Linked DNA regions of Styela clava. The protein of the gene in region 1 binds, or shares a complex with, the protein of each later gene. Links are inferred from orthologs where the notes say so. Each region holds a gene or a part of one and is shown on either strand. Other genes may lie near its edges.

The links.
Region 2: H/ACA ribonucleoprotein complex subunit 2-like protein (region 1) and H/ACA ribonucleoprotein complex subunit 3-like share a complex: the UniProt entries of both Drosophila melanogaster proteins name them as parts of the box H/ACA small nucleolar ribonucleoprotein (H/ACA snoRNP) complex. The link is inferred for Styela clava from reciprocal best matches to the Drosophila melanogaster genes NHP2 and Nop10.

Annotation. Positions count from the first base shown.
Region 1 is NC_135251.1:15,273,417-15,290,786, reverse strand, and holds the start of H/ACA ribonucleoprotein complex subunit 2-like protein, read right to left. Parts: upstream 8,209-17,370; 5' UTR 8,194-8,208; coding exon 8,174-8,193; intron 1-8,173. Other genes in the region: uncharacterized protein LOC120336681, read right to left, coding at 11,674-11,837, 12,147-12,230, 12,880-12,954, 13,054-13,133, 13,207-13,337, 13,406-13,519. UniProt on the Drosophila melanogaster protein: Component of the box H/ACA small nucleolar ribonucleoprotein (H/ACA snoRNP) complex, which catalyzes pseudouridylation of rRNA. This involves the isomerization of uridine such that the ribose is subsequently attached to C5, instead of the normal N1.
Region 2 is NC_135263.1:5,481,131-5,496,982, reverse strand, and holds H/ACA ribonucleoprotein complex subunit 3-like, read right to left. Parts: upstream 7,394-15,852; 5' UTR 7,277-7,393; coding exon 7,082-7,276; 3' UTR 6,367-7,081; downstream 1-6,366. Other genes in the region: transducin beta-like protein 3, read right to left, coding at 967-1,073, 1,648-1,848, 2,092-2,247, 2,928-3,264, 3,882-4,053, 4,889-5,081, 5,862-6,009, 6,253-6,293; uncharacterized protein LOC120341376, read right to left, coding at 9,745-9,920, 10,546-10,679, 11,135-11,337, 11,883-11,946, 12,958-13,087, 14,137-14,406, 15,458-15,564. UniProt on the Drosophila melanogaster protein: Component of the box H/ACA small nucleolar ribonucleoprotein (H/ACA snoRNP) complex, which catalyzes pseudouridylation of rRNA. This involves the isomerization of uridine such that the ribose is subsequently attached to C5, instead of the normal N1.

The DNA.
Region 1 (17,370 bases):
GCAATAATTATGATTTTATCAATTAGTCTAACGGAAAAAATTTATAGAAACAATATACATCAATCCCGTTTGATGGTACGCCGGGATCTCAATATTTAAGAAACCGTATATGCCATACTAAGAAGATACGTTTGTACTTCAATAATGAAACAATCTGGCTGGTGTGACTGCAACTGATCTTAATCCGCTTGAGCAATTTTGGAGATAATTTTCTAACATGATTTGTCTCCCTGGCTTCAGCAACTGAAACTCTCATACTCTTTCCATTTTCTTTTAGGATTCAAGTCCTTGCGTCGTGCAAATTTGGGTACTAATTATGTGTACCAGGTTACGGTTAGGCCATAATTTTATTTTCATTTTTTCCCTTTTTTAGTTTCATTACGAGTTTAGGGATCTTTTTATGTTAGCCAAGTGAATATACCCCCTGCCACAGGCTTCTGTCCCTTACCACAACTTGATGTAAAGTAGGCGAACAAAATTAGTTATCCCCATATTGTACACATACTTCTGGAGCTCCCAAATTTGTATAAAAATAAGGAGTAATTAAATTTTAGAATTACCTAGTATTCATGGAAGACTAAAATATTCACTGCGTGTGATATTTAATAAAATGCGTGGTATTTATATGTTAACTGAATTGTGAATACATCGTTGCAGTATGTCTGCAATTTTAGGATTGTTCGTTCTTTAATATAATAGTTTCATTTGATGGCTGTACGTGGAGTGTTTTCCACAATTCATGTTAGTTTGTAGTATTTTACAGTAATTGAGAATAAAGTATTTTCTTTTACTTCGAATTTAACTGAATCCCACGACCCCACCCATAGTACTAACACTTGGCTATCTTAAAATGCAGTAGTACTAGGATTTTTCAAAAAACTAATAGATAGTTTTCTAGTTTTGATCTGACGTACAACACTGAATCACGTCATGAAAAATAATTGTAATCTATTATAATCTATATTTTTCCCGCTGAAGTATACAAAAAATTCACTTTATGAAAACAGAAATCTATATTTTACGACGAGTCGTTTTATAGACGTAATTACTCAAAACACGTCAACAATAGAAACAAATTATCGGAAGACGCCAAGTACCAATAAAAAATCTGTTTGTTTGTATGAGTAAGGAAGCATTTATGGGCTATGTCATACCTTACGTTTGGTTAGTGTCGATATAGTCGTTGAAATGATCTTTTATATAAGTATAATCGTCTACATGTGCGTATGCAAAGCTCATTTTATATTTCGAATAAAAGCATTTGAATTTCGGTTGGTTGAAAAGTAGAAAATTAATGAACTTATAGAATGAATAACACAGAAGAGATTTATTGGTCAGAAATTGGAGCTTTGCAGGTAAGATTAATTTTAATGTGTTCCAAATATATATGTATGATCTATTCGCCTATAATATTGTTTTCATGAATAATCAAATTTTATTGCAGTATGAATCTATAGATCAAAGTATGTGAATCATGTGCAGAATTGAATTACAAGAGTTTGCAATAATATTATAATTAGAAAGTACAAGTGATTAAAATATAAATTCTCGCATTCTTGCATGAATCAATCAGTACATAAAAACTGATCAAAAAGTATCTTAAAGTGAAGTTCAAACTCGCAGTTGCTCATAAATGTGCAAAAACAAATAAATACATGAAGTTGCAAGCGCACCAAACATATCGTATGGATATTGTTTGACTAGATCATTTATTTCCTATTGACGTACTGAAAACAATTTATAAGATAAGAATTATTGCCAGAAGGTCGATTACACCTGAAAGTAATTAGATAAATAAGTACACATATAGTATGCGACGTGCCATCTGGTTAATTCAAAATGAAATTTCAAGTTTCAAATTAATTGATAGTTTATTGAAAATGAACATTTGAAGAATTTCTTTTTTCAATTGTAAGAATAGCCATATCGATAAGATCGCTGTTTTGGAAATACACTACATTTTCCTCGATAACAAAACAATTTCATGATTGTCGTTCATTTAGGTTTTTCTTACGCGGACTTATTAATCATGTACCCTTTCTAAAGCCCAGTTTGAAAAATCAACCGTTGTTCGGAAATCCGATTTGTGAATGTCTGTTTGGTATTACTGTAGAACAATATTGGCCGTAGGTATAGAAAATTCCATCTGTATCAAAAGTGCACATCATAAAACAGTTTTGAAATTAGTTGAGGTATAATATTTGCATTTTGTCTTTTTTTTAAATTGTAAATACAAATGTATTGCTGTGAATGTGATTAAACAAAACTCTAGCCAAATCACCAACTTATATATTTTGTGTTTTAGTGCCTCGAAGCTGTATACCTATTCGCAGTGATCATAATTGGAACCTTCGGCAATCTCATCGTTATATTTTCCATTATATTAGACAAGAAAGTACATTCTGGCGGAAATATATTCATAATTAATCTGGCAATTGCTGACTTTTTGGCAAGTATTGGTTATTGAAGTTATTGTTCAATAAATTCAATTTGCTCATATTTATCATAATGTTCGCGTCCACATGACAGTAAGATACCGAGGTTTGGCTCTATGAATAATTAGAAATAGCGAACATGCTTTTGAATACCCACTTCAGCGGACAAATTCAAACAATTTGATTGCTTATCACTCATTCATTCCACCGCAAACGGGTGAACTTTTGTTAAAGAGACTTTGTGCGGTTATCGAATATAACTATTTTGAAATACAGGTATGTTCCGTCATTCTGCCATGCACAGCGGCAACGGTAATAAAAGGAGATAGAACACTAGACGACGTTGTTTGTAAAATAGCCGGATTATTGGCTACGACAACGTGTGCTTGCTCTCTATGTAATTTGACATTGATTGCCGCTAACCGGTTAGTACACAAGCAAATAATTCATTTAACTATACTTTCTTCAGTTCTCACTAGGTACAATATACTGTAAGGAAACAGTTTCTACAAAACCATCCACTCACCTTAGTCCATTCTGTAAATTAGAGTAATAATATCCTCCAAGATAGAAACTTTACACTAACTGTGGCAGTAACTAATGTAAAAATTAATTAATTGTTTCACATGATATCGCATAATACTCTAAAGTCTAAAATACTCTAATCCTTATTTATGTTCCCAAAAATTTTTGATGATTTAAATTACTGTATGTATGTATGTATACATAGGCATTAAATTTAAATTGACCGATATAAATATTTTAAAAGATGGTACATAATCCGTATATTCGAACTCACAACAGGTTTTTCATGTAATTAAAAATAAGTCAATGTTGCTCCCAACCAAAGCAAACAATGTAAGCATAAGAGATTTAATTATCTGCAATGCAATATTGATTTAATTGAAAAGACGCTTCAAAAATTCCTCTCTATTTTCAAGGTACTGGGCTATTGTGAAACCTGCGTCCCATCGTCGAATTTTCACTAAACGTATCGGGATTACATTGACAATCGCGTCATGGTCAATCCTCCTAACAATGCCTCTCTTGCTAGGATGGGGCGTAATCATGTAAGAATAGGAAATTTTATTTTATTATTTTACTTCTGTAATAAACCATGATTACCAAATCCATAAAATAATCATTCTTAGATACAGTCCAAAGTCGTTGGTGTGTGGATGGGACGAAACAAAGTCGATGTCCTACTCATTGTTTCTTATCGGCATGGCAGTGCTTTTACCGTTAGCAATTATCATATTTTGCTACTACAAAATTTTCAGGTAAAAATATTTAGGAAATCACTCAACTTTATCCACACTTAATTTATTCGAAAACCAATTTTAGAGAAGTCCGCCAAAGCAGTAAAAATGTGGAAAGTCTCGGTAGAAGGAGTGTTTCATCGCAAGGCGCTGCGTCTCATTCAATGAAAGCGACGAGGAGTCTAATAAATACATTGTTAACAACGGTGATTGTGTTTTTTGTTTGCTGGACTCCGTATGCTGCACATGCTTTAATAAAGCCTGAAGACGTGAGACCACATGCTAAGAAGGTAGGTAGATATCTCACTCACAAAGAGATTTATTTTTCATCAAATCGGTAAAATATCTTTGACATTACTTCAGTTTTGCGATACTAAATGGTAAAGTGAATCAAAATTTGGGATCAGCATTCAAGAAAGTGCCTCATAGCAATTTTTGGTATAATTCTGTTGATTGTGACTTTTTTCAAATCACAAGCGAGTGCCCTAATGCCCAAACCTTAGAATATTAATCGCAGTCCTGAGGGTAGCCTAGAAGTTTAATATATATCTAAACTAAATAGCTTTCTACACTATAATGACGAGCTATGAGACTTTTACTTCCCATATATAATCTTGGGTACGAGAATCCATAAGTTAATGACAGTTTCAAGCAAAGTTACCCTCTCATGGTCGTGTACAACCTACATGTAATTGTTATAAAAAGATGTTAAAAAATCTTTTAATTTTTGTTTCAGTTTTTTGTGTGGTTGGCACTCAGCAACTCATGTGTGAATTTTATAATATACGGAACAATGAATAATGCGTTTAAAAAAAGATACAAAAAACTCTTCAGATTCATTTTTTGCTTAAAAAAGAACACTGGACATTCTGAATCAATGCGGTGAGTTTAGAAAAGAGTTTTTTTAACATTAATTTTCAATATTATATGAATTAATTTTGTTTTATAACTAACTAACCGAAATATTAAAATATTTTACTCAAGGAATTACAAAAAATGTTATTGAGCCGAATATTTTTTTAAAAAATAGTCTTTTTTATTGGTTTCATTCTTTCTATAGTACGCTCTCACAAAACAACCTTCTCGCTCAGTGCATTCTCAGAAAACTAATTAGTATACTCATTTGAGTGTTACTTCTAACGCCAATGGGAATTTCAATTTTCTTTGATTTAGTGACTCAGTGATGTCGTCAAGAAAAACGAATTATCGCAAGAGCAACAGAGAAGAAGAATGAGAAAAAATGGTTGTCAAAGAGCTTCGTCTTTGTTGTCATCCTTCTATTCGTTGGTCATTCATTAAACTCAATCATATTTGTTTACGTGAATATTTTTCACAAATTGTTATGTAATTATTGTTTGGAAATTTTTATGTTTTTTTTATGTATATAATATATGAATTTCAATATTAGTTTATAGTTTCACCCATATGATGTTAGTCTAATAAAAATAGTTGATTTCGAGATATGGTCGTATAGGATGCATATCAGTAACACAGCTGAAAGTCGGAGTATTTATTGTCGGAGTACACGTATATTGTGTAGGGGTATCTCTTTACCAGTGTACCAATGTATTTCCCAATGCAGGCTTTCAGAATTGCATTGGACGAAATCCTACAGAAAATATATAAATTTTGATCGTCATAATTTTGTTAGCAATTATCTCACATGCTTTTATTTACAATAATATCCATACCAATATTATCCCACTAGAAACCAATAAATTTGAATATTTTAAACTCAAGTTTTGTAATGTGCAATTGCTGCAAATGCATTTGATTTTGGAATCATATCTGTGTTTTTTGAAGCTTATGTGTGAAGATAAGGCACATAACTGAAACGAACTGTCCCACAAAACACGGAATTACAGTAAAATGTATATTAAAAACTAGTGTCCAAATTGTGCATGAGTATTTCAATAAACGCGCATACAATTTTACCGCGTAGTAAATTTATATGGGATCAAGAAAGCTTGTTCAAGTATAATTTTGTCAGCATGAAAGTCAAATGGCTACAGCAAACTTCCTTGCCGAATGCATCGAATGTTATTACATGAAGGTGTACTCATGAGAAAAAACAAGGTTTGGGTGAAATATCGTTGACGTTTTAGGCAAGAAAAATTTGACGTAACATTTAAGCATGAAACTAGTATGCTATGTTTGTCTGCAATCATGATGAATTTAGTTTGTTTGAAGTTTGAGTGAATGAGAAAACTGTTATGCTGAAGCTTCTCCTTATGTCTGGTATATAACAAAAGAGAATACTGAATTAAAGCACTTCACATGTTCGAATTTGCTTTATTGCAAGACAAATATGTAGAAAACGTCGTGGTATCTGTATCATTATGTGAAATTTATCATACACAGATTATTAATTCAAACGGACAAAAGTTTGTTTTATGCTATGATGTTATTTCTAAACAACATACTTGCCATATTGTGTTCTATGCTTAGCAAACATGATTTACATTCGTAGTTACGCGCTTCCTACGTCAACTAATGATGTCGTGTCAGGAAGGCAACATATTGTGTCCTTGGAAAATACTGTTAGACATATCATAAACATTTGCGATATACAACAAAATAATTGGTTAAAATTTTTATGTTCGAATATAGAGTTTGGGACAGATAAAAATCTTGATCTAATTGGCGTTTGCAAATATGGCTTTGAGAAAAATCTTTTCATTGTAGAGAAATTATTGGTGAATTTACCAAATGTTTGATACTAGTAAACAACGTCGTTTTATTACCCGGATTCAGTTTGGCATTTAAATATCAAAGTGCTTTTTTTTTGTTCTTACCGTTTTTACGCATGATTTATAATCGAGCACGGAAAGTTGGGGTTAAATTTCAAAAGTATGTCTCAAATTCAAGTATGTCTCAAATTCGAAACATTTGTAGTATTTCCGAAAAATTTCCTTCAAGCAAGGGGAAAAAATGTGAATAACTACTTTTTCGCTCAACCTTAATAGATTTTTAATAGGTTATCATGACGAATAAGACATTTTTCTGTTAACTGGTATATGATTATTATATACCTTGTATGCTTATTGACCGTATAAGTATTGCCTACATTTCATCTTTTCTTACGTGCACTGTAAAGAAGTTCATCCTGCTAGTTCAATTGGGTTTAGCATTAATAAAAAGAAATAGATATACGATTATATCACATACTCTAATCTAATTACACTAGAACGCACAACCAGTTGTAAACGAGCACAATACACCTTTAGTATATTTGTTTGCTATAATACAATTCAATCAAAATGGCAACAGAAGAGTGTTAATTTTACGTTCTATTCTACACATTTTTTTGTCTATTTTACAGTTGTTTCACAGCCTGACCATTAACGTGTGGTATTTACTAAGATCAAACAATTCATCATTTCCTCGAACCGTTAGAGTGGTTTACCATCAATTATTATTTGTCGGAATTTGCGAGTTGATATATGGCACATTCGGGCAGTCAGCTTTAGCTGATCCGCCTGAACATGTGGTGGTATTTTATTTGTATTTGTAAAAAGTACATGCTGGCAGAGAAAGGATCGCGGATGAACTAGTTTTTATCATAGCTGAAAATTGACGCATCAAGAGCTTAAATAATATTCGAGATGGAAGATGAAAATTCTACAGTTTCCCCACAACATCACGACACGAATTACTGGCCAAATTTTGGAACTTTGCAGGCAAGTATTTTAAATATTAAAACCAATGCAAAGCGCAAAATATTTCTATTTTCATTAATTTTTGTAATATTCAGAATTTTTTTTTCGTTTCACAGTACTTCGAGTTTATTTACATCATGTCAATAATACTTCTCGGAACAATCGGTAATTTGATCGTTATATTTTCAATCGTGCTAGAGAAGAAAGTGCATTCATCTGGGAATATCTTTATCATTAATTTGGCAGTGGCTGATGTATTGGTGAGATAATCCTAACTTGAGTCTTACAAAGAATATAAAATGTTCTTGCAATTTTCTTTGTTATTGGTTGATATACCACTAATAAAGAGTACAAAAAATTAACTACATTCAGGGCAAGAATAAATTCATATGAATAACGGTATTTGTAGAAGAGTCAGTTTGTTGAAAAACACGAACTGGCCTTTGTGAATTTTATTCCTAGACTAGAATTTAGATTAATATGCGAAAATATCGATATATATATTTATATCGCGCCAACGAATCTTACAGTATTTGCTTTCAGAGCAAATCTTACGCTTCATTCACATTGACTTCTACTGGTAGGTGTGTTCCGTGACCTTACCTTGCATAGCAGCATCAATAATAAGAAGCGAAAGAATCGTTGATGGAATATTTTGTCAGATAATTGGATTCATAGTCACCATTACTTGTGTTTCTTCTTTGGCTAATATGGCTCTGATTGCATTCAATAGGTATGGTTTTTAATTTTTTTTGTAAGAAAAAAAGTTATTTGAGTAATCGTCTAACAAAGCAAAAACAGACGATAAGGTTGTTCTCACCTCATAGACATACCAAACATTCTTTTGTCTCTTCCTTCCCACTAGAAGGTTTTGGTGTATATTTCAAGTTTCCAAAAAATCAGGCATTCGGCCTTTAACCATAGTTCAATTAAGTCCAATCGAGGCTTCATATTTCCCAAATGGTATGATTGATAGACTTATTTAAAGTACATAATTAGAGTCGTTTAAATACTAAAGTAGTTTTATTCAAATAGTTAATCTTAGATGCAGAAATAAACATTTAAACTTTTATTTAGGGTCGTTTCTTCGCACCATGAAATCAATACTAGTAAACAATCTAAACATATGTATTATTTGTTCAGATACTGGGCGATAGTAAAACTAGTTTCTTATCGAAAATACTTCACTAAAAATGTCGGAATCTTTATGGCAATAATGTCATGGATTTGGTCATGCCTAATCACAATGCCAACATTGGCTGGATGGGGAGAAATCACGTAAGTACATTTTATAATGAACCCGAAAAAATGTATCAAAGATTTCAATTATTTACGGTTTGACCAAATTCTCGCATTGAGTCACATTTACACAAACGAATTTTAATCAGGAATTTTTCTCCAATATTTAATTTCTCTTAGTGTCCTCTGCGCTATTTTAAGAATACACATTTGAGAAAGCTAGAAATAAATGCATCAGGTTGCATATTTATACATTTTGAAGTTGCTTTTGCTTTCTGGTCACCCTTACCATAGGGAACTTAGACTTACTATTGTCTAAAATATAAAAGATCATGCCCTTTTCTGACATATATATACCTACACACTAACATTTACTTCTAGATATGATGCAAAATCGTTGATTTGTGCTTGGCATGACATGGCTTCATTATCATATTCGATTGCCCTCATTCTGGCAGCCGTAGTCTTACCTTTGATGACTATACTATTTTGTTATTTTGAAATTCTCAGGTGAGTATAGTAATGTACCGATACCGGTGTATGTTAGTTATTTTCAAATCAGCGACATCACAATTTTCGGAAATTTATATGTGTGTAATGTAACGAATCTGTAATTTATTGTAGTGAAAATATATCAAAGATTTTAACAATAATTAATAATATAGATAAGAAATAAAATACTGAATAAAAATATCTAATACAGAGCATTGCGAAAATACATCTCATCATTTTGATTTTATAGAAAAGTGAACAAAAACAGAAGCTGGGTTAGAAACCTTAGGAAAAAGGGTTCAACATCTTTGGCCAATTATTCTGATAGAAAACCTTCGCTTAGAAGAGAAAGAAATCTCACATACACTTTGCTTACTGCAGTTGTAATATTCTTTGTGTGTTGGACTCCATATGCCCTACATGTTATGATAAACCCAGGAGATATAAGGCCACACTTGAAAAAGGTGTGTTTGTTTTACTAAACATTAACGGTATGAAAACAATAGAAGGAAGAAAAAATTTATTTTTCGAGAAATCTGAATAACGGCTGACTTTAACTTAATTTAAACCCTTTCTAAAATTGAAGAAAGATATAAACTATATTCAAATGATATTATTACAAAAATTGAATCACTTCTTTATGCATATCAACAGTACATTACTTAATAATCGGTTACCGTACGTAGCCTACATAATTACCTATATTAATATCATGAAATGAGTTATCACCACGATGTCATTACTTATTAGATCTTATATGATTGCATATAGGCTTAATTGTTCAAATATTGAATTTCAATAGAAATCGATCATTTCTTAACGTTTACTTCAAATACTAGCATATGTGTAGTGGTTGCAGTATATGTTTTCTAACAACGTACTCGTAGCAAACTAATCATATAAAAACATTGAAGTAAATGAATGGATATGTTGCTATTACTTACAAACACCTGTGCTATGTAATACCATACACATTTTTTTAGTTTTTAGTGTGGCTGGCGTTAACAAACTCTTGTCTAAATTTTATTATATATGGCGCTATGAATCCCGCATTTAAGAGAAGATATAAAAGGCTACTTCATTTTATTTTTCAATGCCAGCTCGACAAAACTGACACAACTGAATTACAGTAAGTATTTAAATAATTTTATTAGTTTTTTGTCGTGTCACACAGGACACCTTCCCCAAGTCTTGATTACTTTATATTAGAAGGGACCAATAACACACCAAGATTCGGACATTGTTATAATTCAATTATAACGCACGAGCAGTAAGTAATGTTTGCATATTCAAATTAAGCAAGAGTTATGTCCTTCCCAAAAGTTTTCGGTCGTTAAACGTCCACCTATAGATTTTGTAAATATTCTTGTTGTTATCAACACAAAAAAGGGCCTAGTCAGCGATCAACAAAAACCTCCTGCCATGAGACGATGCTCTTATAGTACAGTATAATTACCACTTGAATGCATTTTTTTTTCAGACCAACATGCAACAGGAAAAAATGAAATTCATTGGTTACTCTCAAATTAAAAAAGAAGCATATATATGCTTTGTGTCTCTACGGCTTTACGATAAAAATAGGGCTTAATTTGCAAAGTGTTATTTGTTTGACTTACTAAGAAGATGTGTTTCTGTAAAAACCAAAGTACTGTATTGGGGAAGTCATAAAAGAATAGAATATAGTTTTGTTTCAATGGCAAAGCCAACCGTGTCTCAGAATTGACATTGTACATATCAGCGGAAACGGAATCGTTACCTAATTTTACTATTTTAAATACAATAGATAATACACATGAAGAAAATCGAGCAATTAGAAAACTAGGATATCTTTATTTTATATTAATGAATACATTGTTGATGCTGATTACTTCTTTACTCCACTCTTCACCCGTCACTGCCCACTGCTACAATAGCGTACGACTTATATATATAGAAGTTCGACGCTATCGTAAACAGATTCACAGTGACGTGTTAAATGAGTTATACTTTTGCTAAAGGGACAATTAGAGTTTTAGCTTATGTGGTACAAACGTGTTAGGTAAGAGAGTTTTTTTCGAATAAGAAAAAGGTTTTTTGACTAGTTTAGATCTATCTGAATCATCATTTTGTGCAAATTACTAATATTCCCTACAAACTTTTGTGCTAGTCCAAAAAAATTTTGCAGCATGCCTATTGAGCTATATATTAAGGAATATACACATGGGGTTGTAAGTATGATATCGGTACGACCAAATAATGTCATTCCTAGAAGATTTACCAGATAGTTATGCAACGAATGCACGTACAATTATAACAAAAAAAGGCTTTTTCTTGATAACACTTTACGTAGGCCTACTGAAAAATTTTCTAAAGTTCACAAATAGGGTTTTGCAATAATTTTGGTAGATATTTTGTAACTGCACTTTGTTTATACTTTATGATACTATGACCCATTCTAAAATTTTTGCTTGCTTTTTCTCTGTGACTGAAAGCAAATGAAGATTTGTGAATCTTATTATAAGATTGACGAAAAATAAATGGTACATTAATTTTTGTTGAAGCATTCCGACTATTTACAACTATATTTTGATATATGCCACGTAAATATTTTTACACAATAACAACACCACTTCCCGGATTGCCATCATTCAGACACTCATTTTTTAAAACCATCACCGACGCTTTCAATCCATTCTCAACTAGTGTATTCGATATGTCGTTTAATTGACTGACTGTGATCTGTGGTGTGGTCGCTTTTACGTACGCTATCCAACCTGACAATGAAAATAAAATATAGAACTAAATACTAATTGAACAAGTTGACAGATAGAGTCAATTAAAATAAAAGATTCAAAGTTCTGACCACACGTAAACCATACGCCTATATAAGTTTAATAAAAAATCATTTAGTAATGAATAACCGTGTTAAAAACAAATTATTTCGAGACAATTGATTTCAAGTTGATTTTTAAGATGCCGCAGCTGTTGAAAATCAAAATCCACACACATATTATATAGGAGACAATTAACAAAGCATGTTCTAAATCAAAAGTCTGCGATGGCCCTTAATCTACCAAACTTACCTTCTTTTTGAAAACCGACGAACATGAAATAAGTCTGGTAGTCAGTCAGAAATATGAATTCGTGTTGAGCAAGGTCCGCAGCCTCTGTAAACCCGAGGAAAGATTTTATTGTACTCGTACAGATTGGCTATCGATTTCAGCCAAAATAAAGTATTTTATGAGATCGGTTTTACTTTACATAATCATTCACTATGGCAGAGTAGGATGGAGTCTTGCCGACGTATGTTTGCACAAAGGCCGGCAGCATCTTCATTCGACATCAGAACATTTTAAATTAAATGCTTGTCAATTTGTAAGATTTACGGGGTTCTCCCACTAAAAGCTAATACTTTTCATGCGCACAGGGCAGTGGTTCCCAACCCTTTTCAATTACTGAGCCTTTTCAAAAAATTACGTGACTGACAGACTCCCAAATTTTACGACTGACCGACGGCTCACATCACTTGCCACTGGTATTCGATTACATCATTGTGATCAAATACAATTATAGAAATGTTCGAGCAACTGCCATACGGGCATCTAATTTTAGCTCATATAGCCTCCATACCAATTGCATCAATGATTATTAAATAAAAATAATATACCACGTGTACAAATGTAAACCAGTGAAAGTCAACACTGCCCGAAAATGTTTCGCCAAAAAAGTAATAGGTTTTTAACACAGCCTCCCAGTAGAAGAAACACCAAAAAGCACAAGTAGTAAAAATTTCAGAGAAAAAAAGAATGTTCATACCCGCACGAGCAAGCTTCCGTATTCCGACGCTACTATCAACATTGAAATGATAAAACGCCGTTCTGTACTCCAACTCTGAATCACAAAATATAGAACATATCGTTGAAACATCAACGTGAGTTTTTATAATATGTAAGAAGTTGGAATACCCATAGCAGCGCCAAATATACTCACCACTAAATCTATTGATCTTGTATACACCATTTTTTCTTGTACGGAAAAACTCCACACGAATAGGTAATATGCTGAGTTGCCTGATAACAAAATGCTGTGATTGTGATAACTATGTGATTATGCTTAGGCAGTTAATGCAGTGGTATACTATACCTGCTCGAAAATGTTGCCAAATCTATAACCACGCGATCTTTTTCTTCGGTAATATTCTGAATATTCCAGCACCCCACTGGCTTTTGTGATCTGGGGATATCCAGAACATCATAATAAGGCCCCATTGGAAGCTAAAAGATTGTTACATAAAGTTAATGAAATTTATCATCATAGAACATAGTTTCTACTAATCACTCACCTTATTCCATTCAATGTCCTTTTTCAGAGGAGTTCCGCAAGTTTTACCTTCCGAAAAATCTCCATATATAATAAACGTTACAAGTATTAGGTTTACACCAGTACAAATTGCCATATTGTAGTCGAAGGTTGAAATATTTTTAAATTTATAATGTAGAACTGAAAAATATTACTCAAATTACTTACAATACTCCAAAATGAAAGTTTTGGTTCTATAACATTTCAACTTAAACGTTGCAGTAGCCCGTTACTGGGGTATGGGAGTGGGCTGGGGATTCTATTATCAAGATGTAATGCGGTTACATACACCATCACATCCATCCAATGTTGTACTGCATTGTTTTTATTCAACACTCGGCGGGCAGGTTTAGTCTGAATCTCTCCAAACTGTACATGGAAGCATATAGATTATGTTTAAGAAATGAAAATCATAGATTAATAAATTCAACTATCTATAGGTTTGCGTTGAGGTTTATTAAGATTTAATTTGTTTCATTCTAAGTGCCATCATTTTTCGAAAACCATAATCGTCCTAGTGCAACAATCCAATTACACTAAGAATATATGACAAATATTATATAAATACTCCTTACATATATATTTTCCACAAATAAATGTAAACCATCCGTGCCTGTCTCCTGCTCGGCGAAAATAAATATATGAATCTGAATAACACAAACATTTAATAACTCAGTTGGGATCAATTCAATTTAATCAATTTAACAATCAATATACAATAACACTATAATTTGCGACTATGAATGATACCAATGACGTAACGAAAAAATACTGATTGAATATAGTAAATCAAAATTTAATATTGATTAAAATAATTCAATTAAAAATACAATTTCGAATATTGAGTCAGGGTAGGGTGAAACAGCAAAATCATTAGTGAATATAATCAGTTCAACATAAGAATTTTACCTACTTAGCAATTAACTCGCTCCCTGTCGTTGAATTTTACCTCACATGCTGTGTAACAAGCACCAGTAACAATTTTGACTAAAATGTCCCCTTTTTCAAATTACCAACAAGTAATTCGAATTCGACTCTTAACTATACAATAAAAATATGTTAATGTGACCAAAGTCTGACGAAATCTTCTATAGCCCTATATATACATTTGATTATGTTTATAGTCGAATACAAGAAAAATGGAGAAAAGAAAGCTACAAACAACGCCGTAGAAACGTGGATAATTGATTTCTGGGCGTAAAGTTTCAGTACAAATCACCTCTAGAAGTAAACAAATAAACCTAAAGATTAAATAAGTTCTGTGAAAACGTGGAAAATTGATTATTGTGCGTGACATATGTAAGATGCTAATTATGAAGTCATTATTAATGATTTATGTCTCTTGATGCCACTGTTGAGCTCTCTCTCTCTCTCTCTCTTGAGGTACTGCATGCTGCCTAGTGCTATTATTTATGATGCCTGTGTTATATCCATGACACACTCAAGCTTCCGGAACAGTTGTGTGTTTACCAATAAACAAACATGAAGTCGATCCTCTGATTTTTGATGAAAATGTTGCTAAAACTGGAGAACATTCGTTCGTGAATATGATATTTTCACCGGAGCACTGAATGACAAAGCTAAAACACGCATACTGCTCAATTTGGTTGGAAACAAGGGCAGGCCCAAAAATGAGTCTTTCACATAGGAGTCAGCAAGAGGTGACATTTCTGCTGGGTATCGTAATGATCTAGCTAGAATGTATGAAAAGTAAATTTGCTAAAATATGCCTACCCAAGTCAAACATAGAACTAACGAGACATCAAATTAATATGAGAGCACAGGTGTCAGCTAAATCTATTCAATTATTTGTACAGAATTTTGATCGGGGTTTCTGATGATAACCTGCGAAGACTATTTCTGAAAGATACTACTAGTCTTACATTGAAATATCTATTGAAATATGTGTGATACATGAACTTACGAATGAGAGAATGAAATCTCTATCGGTAACTGCAGCGAAAAAGGTTGATTCTGCATCTCATCATAAAAGATACACGCTGGGTAGTTTGATATCTAGACCAGTGGTTCTCAACCGTCGGTCCGAGGCAACCTTGCTGCCGGTCCGCCAAATATATTCCAATATAAATATATTATTAGCAAATTGCAAAATACAAAGTATTGACGTCATTTTATTTTAACTCTTATTGATTCGTAGTACCGGTATTCGCCTGACAACCGAACTTGGTGAGAGGTCCTATGCCCATTTAAACCCTGAACGGTTGGATATTTGTTAAGTCTATGACCTCATAACGGCGGCCTACGTCATAACGGAGGAGTTTGATAGCACATAGTACTAGGGTTGGGATTTCGGAGCAAGTTTTTGAAATCCCGGTATTGAACCGTATATTCCCGGAATTTTTCGGGATTAAGTAAAACATTGAAACAACTTGCATGACAATAAAATCACCTATTTATTTCATGCAATATCGACACAGATATATTAGAGCATCTAGGACAGTGGTTAGCAACCTTTTTTTTTATGGCGGCACACTATTTAGCTATTTAAATATTTGCGGCACACCTATCACAAAACGCAAACATTTTCTACTTATAAAGAGTGCGATAGTCGAACGCAAAAAATGGTTAATAGTTGCCGATATTACAACTGTTTTCTTGCATTAATGTAAACGAGAGCGTCTTCGGAGCACCTCACATTTTTGTAAACGTTGCGCGGCCGCACGGGTAATACGTGGCATTCAAACGCGCCTCCGATCACGCGCTTAGGTTTTGCTCGCCTTTCTACGTTACGCCCTTATTATTATCACATGCAGTGTCAATTTTTCACAACCTAATTCATTTTTGTTACAATTCAATATGTTTCTCCCATTTCTAAAATCATCAGAAACTATCTAAAAAAAGATAACCGTTTTTGTGTTCGAGATATGAAGTAATCGTCAATAAGTAGTGCAATTTACTAAATTTATGAAGGTTTCATTAAGTTTCATTGCATCACTGTTTGGACTATCACGCGTTTCGCCAGATTGCTGGCGTGATTACAGCTCGGGTGGATAAAATAGTATACTTCCATCGAATCGAATAATTTTAACGAATTGTCGAATATCGAGTTGAATTCGGGATTTTATTCGGATGTTTATCTTTTGGGTCGGCTTTGATCTTTTTGTCACCGTTTGTAAATTAACTGCCTTAATTTTAAGCTAAAAATCCTTTATTTCTGACGCCGGAATGCGGATATTTTTGAAGACGATAGTTGACCTTCTTGATTTTACTTTTTTATTGTGGCTGTTTTTATTTTTATTTTCGTATTAAATAGTAAATAAAAACCCTGCAAACTCATTGCGTAAATCCTGAATGCTATTTTGAGTTCAAATGATGATTAAATAAGTCGGCAATAATGGCAATTCTACTAGTCAAATAATAATTCCTCGGTAACATTTTGCACAATAATTCCACTTAGTCTGACTGACTCAAACTGTAAGCATGGATGTTTTTTTTTTCAAAATAAGTATTAAATAAAATGGTATATCCTACAATTTGTGAGAATATCTATATATGTGGATAACGAAGCCTTAAAAACCCGGGATTCTTTGGAAATAATCGCGGAATCGGGATTAAAAAAAAAAAGTCCGAACTCGGGATTTCCCGGGTTTCAACCCTACATAGTACGGTACCAGATTGAAAAATTCTCAGTTCGCACGATCCGTAATTTGACAGTAGGCCTATAATTTAGCGAGGTTTGATAGTTAAATGAGGCCAAACAAACAGCAAAATATTATTCAGCTCAAACGGCTCTACTTCGCCCTGCAGAAACTTCATTAGAACAGCGTTTAACACGTTTAATGTCAAAAAGACAGCAGCAAATTTCCTATTAAATTGGATTGTCCTTTTCTGCACCGCATGCTTTTGTCCTAATTTCATTCCTTTGATTATGTTTTGTGTTCATGACACTTTTGGTTAATTTTGAAGGTCCGCCGGTCCGCGAAAATT
Region 2 (15,852 bases), on another chromosome or scaffold:
TTCAAAAATTTTATTGACAGTATACAATTGCCACTATTCGAGGGAAAAGAAGAGCTTGGAAGTTGGAATGCTTGGAACCCATCAATATATTGAAAATAAAAAAAATTTCAGTCTAACAAGAGTATGTGGGAAAACACAATGTGAGGAAACACTCGTAATACCAAGCCAACAAGTTTTGGGATTGCTACAAACCATTCCTCAATCCATGACTCATAACTTGCAAACATATTTCAATCCATGATCGTGCAAGTATCATGCAACTTTAATGAAACTTGGATTCAGCATTTCAATATTGAACAATTTAGTTGCCTATTTATCATTTTTATTTGAAATATTTTGCAACTACTTAATAAAATTTATAAACTATATATTACTTTGCTTCGAACTAATTCATATTAAAAAATAAACTCAATAATCTGAACGGATGAAGACCTGCATTCAACTTTTCGATGTGGTCAAGGTACTAGGATATTATGTATTAACTGTAAGTATTTTCTTGTTGTCTGTTTCCCAACTTGGATCTGTATGTGACCATTGTCACAGTGATACTTGATAAGATAGTATTATAAGAGTGGCATAAACTATTTCTAAGAAATAGCATGTGTATTAGTAAGCTTGTATAAGATCATGGTCTAACTTATTCAGACCTAAACAAGATATAACTGGAAGTCAAAATACTTGTTCTTTCAGGTTATTATAAAAAAGTCATCTTGATGTGACAAGTCATATTGTTACATTCCTACATTATCTCGATTCTATTACAGAAACTTGCCCAACAATTATCATGATCTTCATAATTGCTGTTTTATTGCTTGGAGATAAGTCTCCTGTGTTTCAGAATGAATTTGTAAGACTCCAACTCCAACCAGTAGATGAGGTGAAAGCCTATCTTGTTGGTTGTTAATAACAGAATTTCCCATTGCCTTTAGTGTCAGGCTTAAACACCACAGCAAGTTTATTTCCTACCTTGAACAAGCGACTGTGTTGACAGCATGAGCATGTCCTCTTCCTACTGCAATACAGGTTGTTTTAAAAGTTTCTGGATTCATCCTCCACAAACGGATTGAGTTGTCCTGAAAAAATCATTGATAACTGAAAAATACAAGCATTAGGGATAACATTTGTTTGGATTTCATAATGTTGACAAGATGTATGTGAAAGTGTTGATGAACCAATGCTGGCACCTAGTGGTACAATGACACATTGTTAAAGATACACACTGTGAAACTAAACTAACTTCGTATTTTGAAAACGCGATAATCTGCAAAACGTATTTTGTAGCAAGCAACTAACTTATCATAACTGATATATATTCCGTTAAGTTTTATTTAACAAAGTTGTATTACACACCTCCTAATAATGAAAAAAAATATCTGGCCATAATTTGAATTTAATTCTGATAATTTAATCCTAAATGGAGTCTACCCAAAACGTTATCATAAAACCCATGCGAGAGAAGCTTTGGCTCCTAATATAACTGCCATGTTCTTTGGGTCTCTTATTTAATTTTAGTTCCGACAGATACCGTATATATAAATTTTCCATTAAGTTGACATATCCAGACAAAATGAGGAATGTTCGTCAAATCCAAAAACTGTTCAAAATTTTTCACTACATCTCAGAGCATCTATACATATAATCTTGTACCTTTGATCCGCTTGCAAGGATCAAACCATCTTTAAACACATCAAGGCATAGAACAGTGTCTCGATGTCCAGATAGTAGTTGGCAAGAAGATGTTTTTCGATCGAAAACTTTTACAAGAGGACTGTTAGTTGCAACGACAATATGACTGTCTGATGGACCAAAGAACCGAACATCTAAAACTTCATCGTTATAACCAACGAGCTAAAGAAGAATAGTAGCAAAAATCAGTAGTTTCTTGTAAATTAGTACGAATTTTCCTTTTGATCGATGGCTTAAAAAAAAATGTTTGAGTGATATTCTTATAAAATACTTAAAAAATATCATCAAGAATATTTGCAGAGCTAGTGCTATATAGTTTTAACAGAAGGCATCTCAGTTTGGCTCTAATTAATGCTCAACTATTATATTGAACCTGTCTAAAACATCTCTACTCAACAGACTTACATGTCTATCTTCAACAAAACCGTCATCGTAATTAAAAATGTTGATATTATGATCGAAAGTCACGGTTGCATATTTTTCAATATTTTCAAGATAAAGAAGATCAACAATGGCTCCATGTTCTGAGTCTGATTTAGTCTCTTCTGTTTCAGTTAAACGCTAAAAACAGAGTATGCGAAGTTAGGAGCAAGAAAGGGCACAAAGATATAATATACTTAAATGCATGGCCACCTGAGCATATACACATTACTATAACTGCTTGTGCAGGGCCACAAAGTAAAAGGCCTGTCTATATCTTCACATCGTTCGGAAAAATTTCGAAGCCGATAGATTATTTGAATAGTTTTGAAATTTAAATTCTTGATTTTACGAATAATTCAGGAAAGGGCTATTTTTATTTGAAAAAATTTCATTTCGATCAATTGATATCTCAGAGTTCGACCCAGAAGCTCTTGATTCAATTTCTGAACAATGTTAAAATAAAAAAGCACTTCTAAATCACTGAATCTCAACATTTCTGAACTTCAAGGACAAATTCAAATAAAACATTCGCAATACTATCTGGTATTTGTAGCTTATTGTTAGCTAGTTATTTTTAAGGTGTGGCGCGAGACTCGATCAATTCTAAAAAGGGAAGGGCCTCAACAAAAAAGGTTTGAGAACCAATGTTTTAGAATGTATTCAGAATAGGCCTAGTAGATCAATTGGCTTGGAGAGAAGGGTAGATAGAGGTAGAAGACAGATAAAATATTATTAATTGAACAATAAATATGCTTATTAAACGCTACACTTAGAACTACTATCCAACCCAGAGGTATCACCTTGAATTACATATTTACCTTTTGTGTGTATATACATTTCCCGGTTGATAAATTCCAAACTCTCAAATTTCCACTACTTCCAGCAGTTAAAACATGCGAAGATTCATCGGAAATTGCAGTCTTTATAAGTTTAGTAATATGTTGGTTTGGCAAAACTAATAATCCTTCAATAGTCTCATATACAGGGATTGTTTTATTTGGTTCGACAGTGTTTTTGTCTTTACATTGCGACAAGTCCCAGACACACAACACACTGTCTCTTCCTCCACTTATTAAAGATATTTGAGATTCAGTTTTTGTAATGAATGAAAGTGATGTAACTGCACTAACATGTCCATTCAGCATACAAATGCATCTGAAAACAGAGAACTAGTTAATAAAAACTGAAACATGAAAATTAAGAATAAGTGCAATCTTTGGCAATGTTGCCATATCAGATGAAATATCTCGGGATAACCCTCTGCGCACCACATCATGCAGAACTGGAGAGATTTCCAGCTTTTTAAAAAAAAAATTACATTTATATCAATGGAAGCTTGTTCAGAGCGTTATTCATAGCGAACGATGTGAAAGTATAATACGATGCTGTAATTCTTCTACTGTAAAGTCTCAGTAGCTTCTGTACCAGTGGTCGTACCAACTTCTCTAGTCGACGGGCCAGATGTTAGAAAATGAAGTTCCCAGCAGGCCGGATTATAACATGAATAGTATTCAATATCTTAATCACATATTTATTAACTAATGCAAGAAAGAAAATTATAAATCGTGTTTAAATTGAAAATTAAACTAGAAAAAAATAGAGACCAAAAAACTCATAATGAATTTATCATAATGTACTAAAAGTGTAATAATGTAATATCATAATGTACTGATGTACAGTCAGCGGGCTGGTCAAAATCTCGTCGCGGCCCATGCCCACCCCTGCACAAGACTCATCAAACAAAGTATCACCAAATGAATAAAAGATCATACCTGCTCGTGTGTAGATTCCATATTCTAATAACATAATCATTAGACGCAGAAAACAATTGTAAATCGTGTGGATGGAATTTCACAACTGATATTACACCTTGGGATCCTCTCAGATTATGAGTGCAATACTGATGCAACATATCCCATATTTTAATGGTACTATCACTGCTTCCTAAATAATGAATAAGAGAATAGCTAATTACATGTTGATATTTAGATATTTCAGTAGATTTAGATTCAGAGTATGTGGATAAAGGTGCAGCGTGAAAACGTACATAGTGTGGACAAAAATATTATCCAAACATAAAACCATTATTAATCAAGCCAAACTCACACTCATGTATAAAGCGAATTTTGTGATTAGGATTGCACAAAATAAATCTAATTTCAGATTGCATTTGAAATGTGCTTCATCCATCGCTTTGACCAATTGAATTTAGGAAATTGCCAATTTGTGCATTTCAGTTTTAAATTCGTTCTCCATTTTTTTTGAATTCAAAAATATTTCAACTTCTCATTAAACTGATGAATTTGATTTTGATAAAGTTTGCCAATGTAAAATTTACTTTGCAAAACTTCTTTCAAGTAGAGAGCAAACTATATATTGCATTGCTAAATTTCCTTTGAAATGTAAACGAGAATATCGGTAGGAGACCGAAGACTTATCAATCGAAACTACGGTTTCGATTCATGACTCTATAGTGACACCGTGTGTCCCATCACTAATTAATTAATAACTCGCTAATTTTATGACATAATTCATCCAAAATCAATAGGCTTCTGGTCCGAGATATGATGAATGCTAATGCAAAATTTGGAGCAGATTCAACCACGCATTCGTGAGATATCGTGTGCGTCTAACAGACAAACAGACAGACAGAAAAACAGACAAATAGGTATCAACATGCTTACCGATCTAAAGATCGATAAGTAACAATTTTGGGAGTTTTTTATGAGCTGTATTATCAAATCTTTTTATTTGACTACAATTACTTCTGTGCTCATACCTGTGGCAAGGAGTGTAGATGTCGCATCAAAATCCATGCACAGAATTGGTGAAGTATGAATTGCTTTCCATGTTCTCACACATTTTGCCACCTCATTCTCAATTTTCCATTCTTTCAGTAACAAAGATCTTGTGGCAGAAACAATGATGTTATTATCTGGACTAGATAAAATACAAGTGACATCATCTCCCTCCTGGTAAAAAACATAAAAATTTGAAAAATAGAAAAGCAGATTAAAACCAAGTCTATAGCAGTCAGTGGAGTCGGATTTAGGGGGGCAGAGTCCAATATGGATAACCCATTAGTCGCGGATCAGAATTTTCAAACTTTCAATGGCGATAAAAGAAGAAGTTTTCAAAGTAACTAAAACAGTGTTATCAAATGGGGCCTATAAAAGACAGCTTGTGTATACAAAGGCTTCCATATAAAATTTGATATTCTCGGAGTTTGGATTAGCTAAAAATTCACACCCAGCCCCGACTCCAAACGACGAGATATTGAAAAATGACTCCCGAAATGACAAATCATTTGAATCCAACTTTAGCCACATATTAGAAGAAATTTCAACTCTCCAGCTTCGAACTTAATTTTGTTAAAAGACACAATGCCGTACACGTTCCTTCTTAAAGTGCCCATTGAGACTGCTTAGTTAACTCAATGCAATTTGAGTTTTCCTAAAAATTTGTATCTCAATTATCATCATTAATAAGGGTCTAAAATGGGACTTGGACTCAAAAAAATTAGAATGTCAACTCATGTTCAATATCAAGAAAAATAAATAAGATGAACTCAAACTCCACAGATCTGGGTATGATAGTGATTATGAATTTGCTTGTTCACAATGATATAGGATTAATCATCATTCAGAAACCTGTCGAGTTTTTTCAGTTCGACCTCTCCAACATTATATTGCTGAAACAATGATAGTCTTTCATTTTTATTCATATTTAAATTGAACAAAAATCACCCCAACCTGAGACAAACTGTGTTTTACTTCTCCAGTTTCAATATTAATGACTTTGACAGAATCTCCACATGAACATAACAATGTTTTACCATCATTATGACAAACTACTGATCCTCCAGTGTAAAATGGCTCCCATTTATGCTTCACTGCAAAGCTAAAAAATAACAGAACAATTTAGTTATTAGAAAGTAGGAAATGAATAATGACATCGCGGGTTACACATTTCGGGTTCATATACCATGCCCACCACCTAACCCAAGGTGCAATAGATTGGGTGGGCAAGCAAAACTAGAAAGAGAACAATCTTTAAACACCTAAATTATGGACCATTAGTTGATAATAAAGTACAATTTTGCATGTTTTAAATCATTTTTTAAATAAGAGGAAAAAAACTTACTTTGTTTTGAGAAGCAGTTTTCCAGACAACTTTGAGTCCATTTTCAATGTCAGACACAAAAATCAAAATACAGGATAGGAAATTGATTCGCAATATTAAATAGATTTGAATGTGTCTATGGAAAAATGCATTCAGAAGATTATATGATTGAAATTTCAAGTAGTTAGCACATTACACCACTCTACACAAACAGCATGCTCATTGGTGCGAGTAGGCCTATAAGTCACAAATAAAAATAATTCCGAAAGAAAGATGGTCAGCCATTATTCACCACTTTACAAATCAATAAAGTACAAAAGATATTCAGTTAAACTCAAAGAATTGATCTCGTAGTTTCCATACACAAGTGGCTTGTCTAGAAATCTTTTCTGAATGAAAAATATCCAGCATTAACCCAGCATATGTTGTAAGCAAATATTTAATGAAAGGTGAATAAAAATGCTGCAATATCTGAATATATAATCACACAAATAAAGCAACAATTAAAATCTACTAAATTAAACACAAATTGGGAAGCCGAAAAAATGGCATTACTGGGGTTTAAAAGCATTGTGATAAAGAAGGGATATTTGATCTATCAATAAAACACACCACATGGTTATAGTGAAACATCCTTTTTCAGTGTTTGAGTGAAACTTTGAATATTAAAAGATTATAATTTCCGTTTCTGTGATGGTAAGTCAGCAAGACACATTGACAAGTAAAGTTCATTCTGATTTCTCAACACTGTAACATGCACACATAAAGCTTTTTGGTTGTCCCGATAAAAGTAGTGAAATTGTTAGTTGAGCTTTTACTATCCTACATATTCCGTTTTAAAAATGTTCTTTCACATCGCAGGCTTTGGTTGTTGGGTTAATAATAGTCCGAAACGTCTCTTGCAGGCGATTCTTTGTTTCGAAAACTTGTCATCTGGAGAAAACCTTGCCGGATGAGCAGACTGGGTTGGCGAACCATCAGGAGCGACCTTTTTCATGGTGTAAACTCGTTTACCATTATCGTCCAAATAATATTGCAGAAACATCTTTCTATTCACGGTAAAACGATAATGCTGAAAGATTGATTTCGGTAGCTTGAATGAACAGACAATAATCAGCAGAGCAAATTTTCAACAAGTCAAAGGGAATTTCCCCACAGCACACACGTGTTTTATGTCTCTGTCACTAGTAGACGCTGTTGCAAATTTTTGAGTCCGGCCCGGTTGCCGGTATCGGGCCTGCGCTACCAGTTGGGTAAATCAACTTATTTAGTTGAAACCAAAAAGCATAAAATGATAAATATTATAGGGCTATGCTGTTAAAAATACGATAGAATCAAACGGGAAATTTGAAGATCCAATCATAGCCGAGTAACGGCAAACCAAAATGTTCATTTATTCGACTCTAACTTTTTATATGTAAATACGTTTTGTTTTGTTTTCTGGTTGGCGTGTTTGGAGAAGGCCCTCTCTTCACGTTAATATTTTCATAAAGTTATAATCCTTTTTTCAATTGCCACTACAACTCAATATTTTCGTACGCTTTTAATCACTATTGCTGTATTCTCATCTCAACTCTCCGCTCAACCATTAATGATGGAACGATACTATTTTTACTCACTCTGGGATTTAGATTTCGTGAAAACACTTGGCATGCGCAGCCCACGGAACAGGGGTTGAAACCTGTGCGTTTGGGCGATTATAATCTCGGTATCAAGGACAATAAAAAATTTTTGGACGAATGACGGTCACTCGACTTTGAAGTCCCATTTTGTCGTGAGAGACAAGTGAAAATAGAGAACTAGCTTGGAGACAGCGTGTCCATGACTGGCACAGTTCTAGAAAAATTCGCCGTAGGAAATCTCGCCGCAAGAGCGTTTTGCTGTAAAACAAGTATTTGTGATAAAAAGTTAGGTTTTTGAAGTACTTTTTCATTTAAAAAAAATTGCTAAGGGCATGCCCTAACCCTATAAACCTGACCGTTTTTATCCCAAATACTTGTTTAACAGCAAAATGCTCTTGCGGCGAATTTTCCGGACACGGTATAGCCCACCTCTTCATGCGTCCAACCAATGAGAATATATACATCTTCCTTGATCCACAACAACGGTCAGCTTGACCACAGAAAGATTTTTCTATACATCTCACTCCTGTTAACTAATCTAATCTGGCAATCTTTACAAAATTATTGATGTGGTGTGGCAAATTTCTTTCTTTATTCGTATTTTTTTCCCCTTTCACCAAGTAATATATATATATATAGTTTTTTCTCTTTCAACTTTATTGTATCTCCGACACCGTGATTGTATATACGCGTGCACGTATTAATAATTAATTTAATGCTTTTGGGTTAGTGAACGCGCACCTCTCCTCTTGACAACACCTTTCAATCCATACGTTTTAAACCTAAAGGTTTTGTTTGCTCTCCCGATTCTGTTTATTCTGTTCTTATCAATTATTTCATCGTCTGTAATGTAGTCAAAATAAAGTTTTACTTATGAGTGGCACCAGTCACGTCTCACCAATCAGTAAAATGACATTCCGATATTCTGTACACAAATGGGATATTTCATCTAGCTCTAAGTTCCAACAGATAAACAATCTTACTCTCTCTGCGTCATTATAGAGATATCCCATATTTCTTACAGATAACGTTTTTGTGTGACCATGGGAAATTAAGCAATACGTTATCAAATTTTCATTCAAAAATTTGGCATTTGGTTTATTTTTTCAATATAAAAAAGACAGCGGGTTGTTTATTACAGCAATTACGAAACAAAACAAAAATTAAATGATGGCAACGATCTGTTAGACCCATATCAAACAATGTGATAATTATATTTTTGAAACAGAGATATGAGATTCACTGCACAAGCACCAGTAAGACATTCCAATGCACCACATTTGCATTGATTTAAAATCATATTTTTGTATTAAAAACATTTCCAGAACAACTCCATTGTTATATTTAAATGCATTTCAACTTCAAATCAAACTATTTCATTTATAACATTGACCGTCATTAAAATAAGCAAGAATTTAACAAATTTGAAATGGTTGAGTACAGAACCAGCAGTGAATAAAATATTGCACGATTTGGCAGAACAAGAACAATGGCTTTGATGATTTTACACAAAAACTGTATGAATAATTTACCTAATAATGATTGAACAAAACTGTTAAATAAATCTATTTCTGAGGACCAGAAGAAAACATATATATTTCAGATCAACTTGTATCGATTTGCAACATTTCTAAACCCTAAAATGCAGTTCGAAATGAAGTCTTTTGAGTCGTATTTTTGCAACTTGACTATGTCAGGTAAGTCAGATAATTTCAACTCGAAATAGAGTTAAATAGGATTAGCTTCGCAACATTGATAAAGCCTTAAACACCTTTACTATCATTCATTAATTCCTATTATTGAATTGAATTAATTAATGAATTAATTGGATAGTTACAGGTTTTACGTATTTTTACCAAACTCGTAGAAAATGAAAATTATTAAAAGTTGATCAAGTAAACCTAGAATATTGAGAATGACCAATAAAAGGTAATTTTTTATTGTTTATAAGACACTGGATGACCCATTCTATTGACACGACAGGAATCTTGAGTTTCTCCGCTCTTTCCATGATACTTTGATCACATGATGAATCAGCAACCACAACGTCACACGATAGAGAACAATCTGTAAAAAACATGAGAGATTTTATAAAACACTTAATTTGGTGTTATCAGTGACTAAAAAGAGCAGAAGCGTTGTGAATAACAAATAGGGAGAAAGAATGATTCGATTATGTTACTGGGTTCATTTACCAGAGGTGCGAAAACTGTGCAATGGGGGTGCGAGAATGCTGGGCCATTAAGTTTAGCTGAGAAATAAAGATAACACAGTGACAATGACAGCAAAAATGCATTGAACCTTCTGCCTCCCTGTAAAGACATGTCTTGCAGTAATTTACTGACTGGTTATAGATAAGGGCCCGAGCATCTGAAACAAATAACTGGTTAACTGGGCAATTTTTTAGGGTTGGACTATTGAGGTTTGGCGCTAGATGCTTTCAAGTCACTTCTTTCCGATTTTTTTTTATTTGCTGCTGCGTTGGTTTTTTAAAATTCCCAAGCAACCCAACAAAAGATTGTGGTTTGTCATTTGATAAGATTAACTCTCCCCGGGATAAATAAAAAAAATCGTAAGTTCTAATAGGACTGATGAGCTATTGCCATTGGAACCTAAATTGCCAGAGCATTGAAATCAATCAAACTTTTTGACTCGATTTGAACAATATTTAATTTTAATGCTTTTATCATACCAGTTTTCAATTTATCCTTCCTTGTTGAAACTGATATACAACCAGCAATGCACAGTAAAGGATTCCATGTTGCTAGATCTCTCATATGTAAACTGACACGAATACCAGACAGTGGTTGGATTGGAGATATTGGTCTAGAAAAGTTATGATTTAAATATAAATATTGGAATTTGGGCTGGGATACACTTCAGTGAAACACTTTCAAAAACGATAGAAAAATATGTGCAATTCTTATCATGCGAATACACATTAGAAAAGGGAATAATACTTGGAATGACAGAACTTGCAACCGTTAACCATCTGATAACAGTTAATCTAATTATGGTTACCGGTAATCCTAATTGGAATTCATCACCGAAAAGACAATTGTTGACTTAAAACAATGCTCCAAAAGTTTAAACATTGGGAGGCGCCCTCAGCTTAATTTACTATTCTAGATTACTTACATTGAATCAAGAATACCAAATCTTCAAATATCAATATTCTATTTTAAATTACAGTTTGATTCGATGGTGAGGAAGAACGTTAATGAAATTGAGGTTGAACTTTAACTAAAACATTGTTTACAACTCCTAAATTTATCCATTACCTTTCCACAATCCCCATATGTTGCAAACTGTATCCAGCGGGCAAAACATAGGATTTTATTGCTTTTAATCTCCCAGCATTTGTTGAATCATTGATCCAGATATAAGATATGCATTGGATTCCCGCAGCTAGTGCGTTGAAATAATTCATTGTTCGACAAAAATTATCTGATACGACGTAAAGCTCACTTCGATCACATGACATCTGTGAACAAAATAATATATCACAAATGACAACACAAGAGTTTTTTCAAGATATTCAGAATATGCTCAATTCGATAACTATTTGGTACTCCCGTAGTATGTGTACCAGCTGCCACGTTAGGGCAAAATGCTTATCCGATTTTTCTTATTTTAGTTATATTATGAGTTTGGGGACTGTTTGTGTTAGCCAAGTGAATATACCCCCTGCCCATAGGTTTCAGTCCCTTTACACAACTTGATGTAAAGTAGGCGACCAAAATTAGTTACCTCCATATTGGTACACACACTTCTAAGCGCCAACTATTCTTCTTTTTATTTAGCACATACCTGACAACCGGGTGAGAAAAAGATATTTAAAAACTCAAGTATATTGTTTAATAACTATAGATTCAACAAAAATCAAAAGCTATTTTGGAATTCTAATCCAACCCCAACTTCCTGTTACCAATAAATGCAGGCAGTCAAGTTGACTAGACAAGTATTAATTATCAGGCCTAAGTTTTGTCGACATAATTACACAGAGACAGAGCATATAAATCAGTTTACCAACTGCGTGAAATCCTTGACAACAACACCATCCCCAGCATTGATTTGTTTCTTCAACACTTCCCTGCGTAAAAGATTGAAATAAAAGTTGTTCACATCCAAACAAATATAAAATCAACTATCATCTCTCAATATATGGTCTTGTATCCACTTAGCCCCCTGTACAGAGCATGTAAACTGATATGAAACTCATGAGTGTCAGTATAGTCTAATTGAGCACACAGCAACAAAAAAGCTCCAAAGCGGTCAATTAGACTTTTGGCTGCGCAGATGATCACGACAGATAGTGACAATGGGCAAGCAAAAATGCTTCGGTTAGTGAAGAACCGTGAGAGTTACGATCCTGTAACTTCAGGGAAAACAGAAAAATATTGCCATGCTATGTACAATGTAAGTGAGGAAAATTAATAACTTCCAATACCTGTGGCCTTCTTTCAAAGAGTTCCAAAGAGTTTTCAATAGTGATATTTATAGCATATTTAACAATAAGAAGCCAATTTTTTTAATTAATTTAGTCATGGAGAACGATAGCTAGTGAAGGGCTTGTCCGTGTCTCACTAGGGGGGCCGAGGGCCCAATTTGAGAAACCCTGCTCTAAATTGCAATATCTTCAAAAATAATTACCAAGTGTTGCTGGTTCAATTTTATCAAAATCATGCAAACTGATCTTCACTAGTTCATCAGTTCCAAAAGGAAACAATTTTTGAATGTAAAGTTTTGGTAAACTACCTTAATCATGGTTTATTACAAGAATGTGCAAACTACTGCCCGTCAACGAATTTATGCACCCCCCCCCCCCTGCTCTTGGAAAAGGGTTGTGAACATTTTCAAAACTACATACAAAACTTGGATTTATTTTTTAACTTCATTTAAATTATCTAAACTATGATTTGTTAAGTAATATTAATGTTCAACAATGCAAGCCACAACTGTATTCGACAATATCATAGCGAATAGAATTAATAACTGTGACATTACAATCAATTTCTCAATGCAGCCCTTTGCCAAGAATATTTTCTGATGAACCCCGCCCTTCGCAAAAAAAAATTGCCCGCCCTGGTTTATAATATATTACCTGTCATATCCATAAATATTGGTGCAAGGAGGTGAATCAAACTCGGATGATGGATGATCTTTTCCTGTTGTTGAAGTCAGTAAAAATCCACATTTCTCAAATAGTTTGCTTTCTTTGTATGTCATGGATGCTAAGAAAACAACATTTATTTATTTAATCTATTTTTTCGAAGTGATTCAAAACTCAACTGTAAGTACCGGAAAAAAAATAATTAGCGCACATTGCAGCCAAATATATACAAATCAGTCAGATTTATAAAATTTAAAACTTCTGTAAATCCTTTTTCCAAACAGCAAATAAACCAACATTTCATGGTAATTTACCATTTATTCAACTATAGGCATTCACTTATTTATGATTCAAGTTGAAAATATCTGAATAGAGCAAAGTTATGAAGAAAGTACTTTTGTAACATAGGCAACACCTCACTCAGGGTGTTATAACTAGGGTAGGCAGGGCCAAACAGAAAAGATTACAGTCCTTCTAAATATAGATAATCCAAATAATTGTTTTTTTGTGCGGCATGACGCCTAGTTCACCTAAAAAAATAATGAAATATGTCAGTCATTATTAGAGATGGGCAATTTAGAATACCAAATCCGGAGGATCCGAATCCCAAAGTATTGAATTCCCAATGTTTAGGACATTTTCAATTGATACCGAAGAAAGTAATGCGTTTACAATTTTGCTTTAATTTCCAATCCAGCAATGTGGTGGGGAATTCCCGCTATTCAAATAACTATAAAAACAGAATACGATTCGGTATTTTAGATTTGATTTAAGTATTCTAGAATAGTAAATTATTCTACATTGCCCATCCCTACTCATTACTTATCGATCTTGATCGGTAAGTATGTTGATAGGTATTTGTCTGTTTGTTTGTTTGTCTGTCTGTCTGTTAGATACACGCGATATCTCTCAAAATCGAGGTTGAATCTGCTCCAAATTATGCATGTGCATTCATCATATGTCGGACCAGAAGCCTATTGATTTTGGATGAATTATGTCGTATAATTAGCGAGTTATTGATTAATTAGTGATGGGACACACGGTGTCACTATGGAGTAAGAGCAAATGAATCGAAACCGCAGTTTCTCGTTATTGTTTTATGATATCGCATAATTCACAGTATTACAAAATGGTTGATTCATCTGAAAATATTTTCACATTTGACCTCACCTTTAGATGGTGTATTCGAAGATTTTCGTTTTGCTGGAGTTCTTGGACTCCCGTAACTAAGTTTCCCTCGTTTTGATTTCTTAGTTGTTGGGAAAGGTACACAGGAAGATGACTCAGAAGATTCTGAATCTGCTCGACGTTTTCTTGAGGATCGAGGAGTTTTAGAAGTCGTGGAAGATGGCGTCCCTGGTCTGGATGCGGCAGGGCTGCTCACAGCAGAATCAGCTGCTCTTGACCGACGTGTACGTCTCTTACCATCCATGATGTTATCTGTTTGAAAAAATTAAATTCAGTGATTTTTAGAACTAAAAGAATACACACTGTAAAGTGGGCAAAATTTTTAACAGATCTTAGCTTAGATTAGTGCTCCCCAACCTTTCTACCCTGGCAGACCAGAAAAATCAAATAAAATGTTCTCTCAAACCAGCAAAAATTTTGAAATGGCTGAAACGAAAAAATATATTAACCAAGTAGTCTGTAACTAGGTGCCAGGCTCAAAATCATGCTGTGAAATTACTCTGCGCCAAGACGTCATAGGGCCATTAATAATACCACACTTATCAAACAGCAATATGACGGTAGAAGAGAAATTGCCTAATAAAACAACGCAACTTTGGTAAAACGATTGAGACAGCAGAAAAACAACAAAACTTATCATGGACCGGCAAAGAAGCTTCTCGGACCGGCATCGGTCCGCAGACCAGCGGTTGGAAACCGCTCTTTTAGATACGGAAGAAGTTGGCTAAGCTTTTTTAATTAATATCCAACATAATTATCCTCTTTTCACTTCTGCTATGCCATCATACTTGATTCTATCTAATGTTTTAACCACTGCGTGTCAATAGCTGCATTTTTAATTCATTTATATTTATCATGCTGATAGGAGTCGAAAGGAAAAGACTCGAAATCTAATCTCTTACCCATATTCTATTTTGCATTAATTATCCTGCCTGTCATTCAAATAATTTTTGAATACTGTTTAAAAGGCGGTTGGTGCATTGTGTCAATCGTTAGGAATAAGCTTGCCATTATACCTCTGATTAACCTTCTTAGGTTCAAGGAACCCGGCAAGAATAATTATGTGCGAGAGGTTTGCTGGACTTTTCGCCATCATAGGGTGGTTTACATAACCAAACCATAGGTCGAGTAAGACTCCATTCACCATTAAGTCCACTCATCGGAAACAAACAGCTGGCTAACTATTATGGATACATGAGAGGACATGGTTTGCCACATTATAATACCATCTTATTGACTTTCCTCTCCCTCAGAATAAATATGAAAATCCCATCTTATTACCAAATCAATAATGGCATCATACCCAAACTAACATCTGCTGTAGTAAGACCAGATGCAGGCTGCAGCTTCAATAACTTCAAATCGTTTGACAAGTTTTCAAGTTTTACAATAACTTGTTTCCTTGTGTACCTGCAAATTGGAAATAAAAGCAATGATGGAAAATAAAATTGACAAAAAATCTCTTTTCTACAGATAAATTAATATAAAGAGTCACAGTCTAAAAATGGCAGTGCAGCAGGTGTTCATAAAGTTTCAAAAATTTCCAAATTCTGTCATGCAGTCTGTTCTCAATATATCTTAACCAGTTTTTTTTTTTATTTCAATCAATGCTCATTTACTTGAGCTCTTTTACTTCCTTTAATACACTTTTTAGGACCACAACTAGTTACATGTACATGAAGTAAATGTCTTTTTACC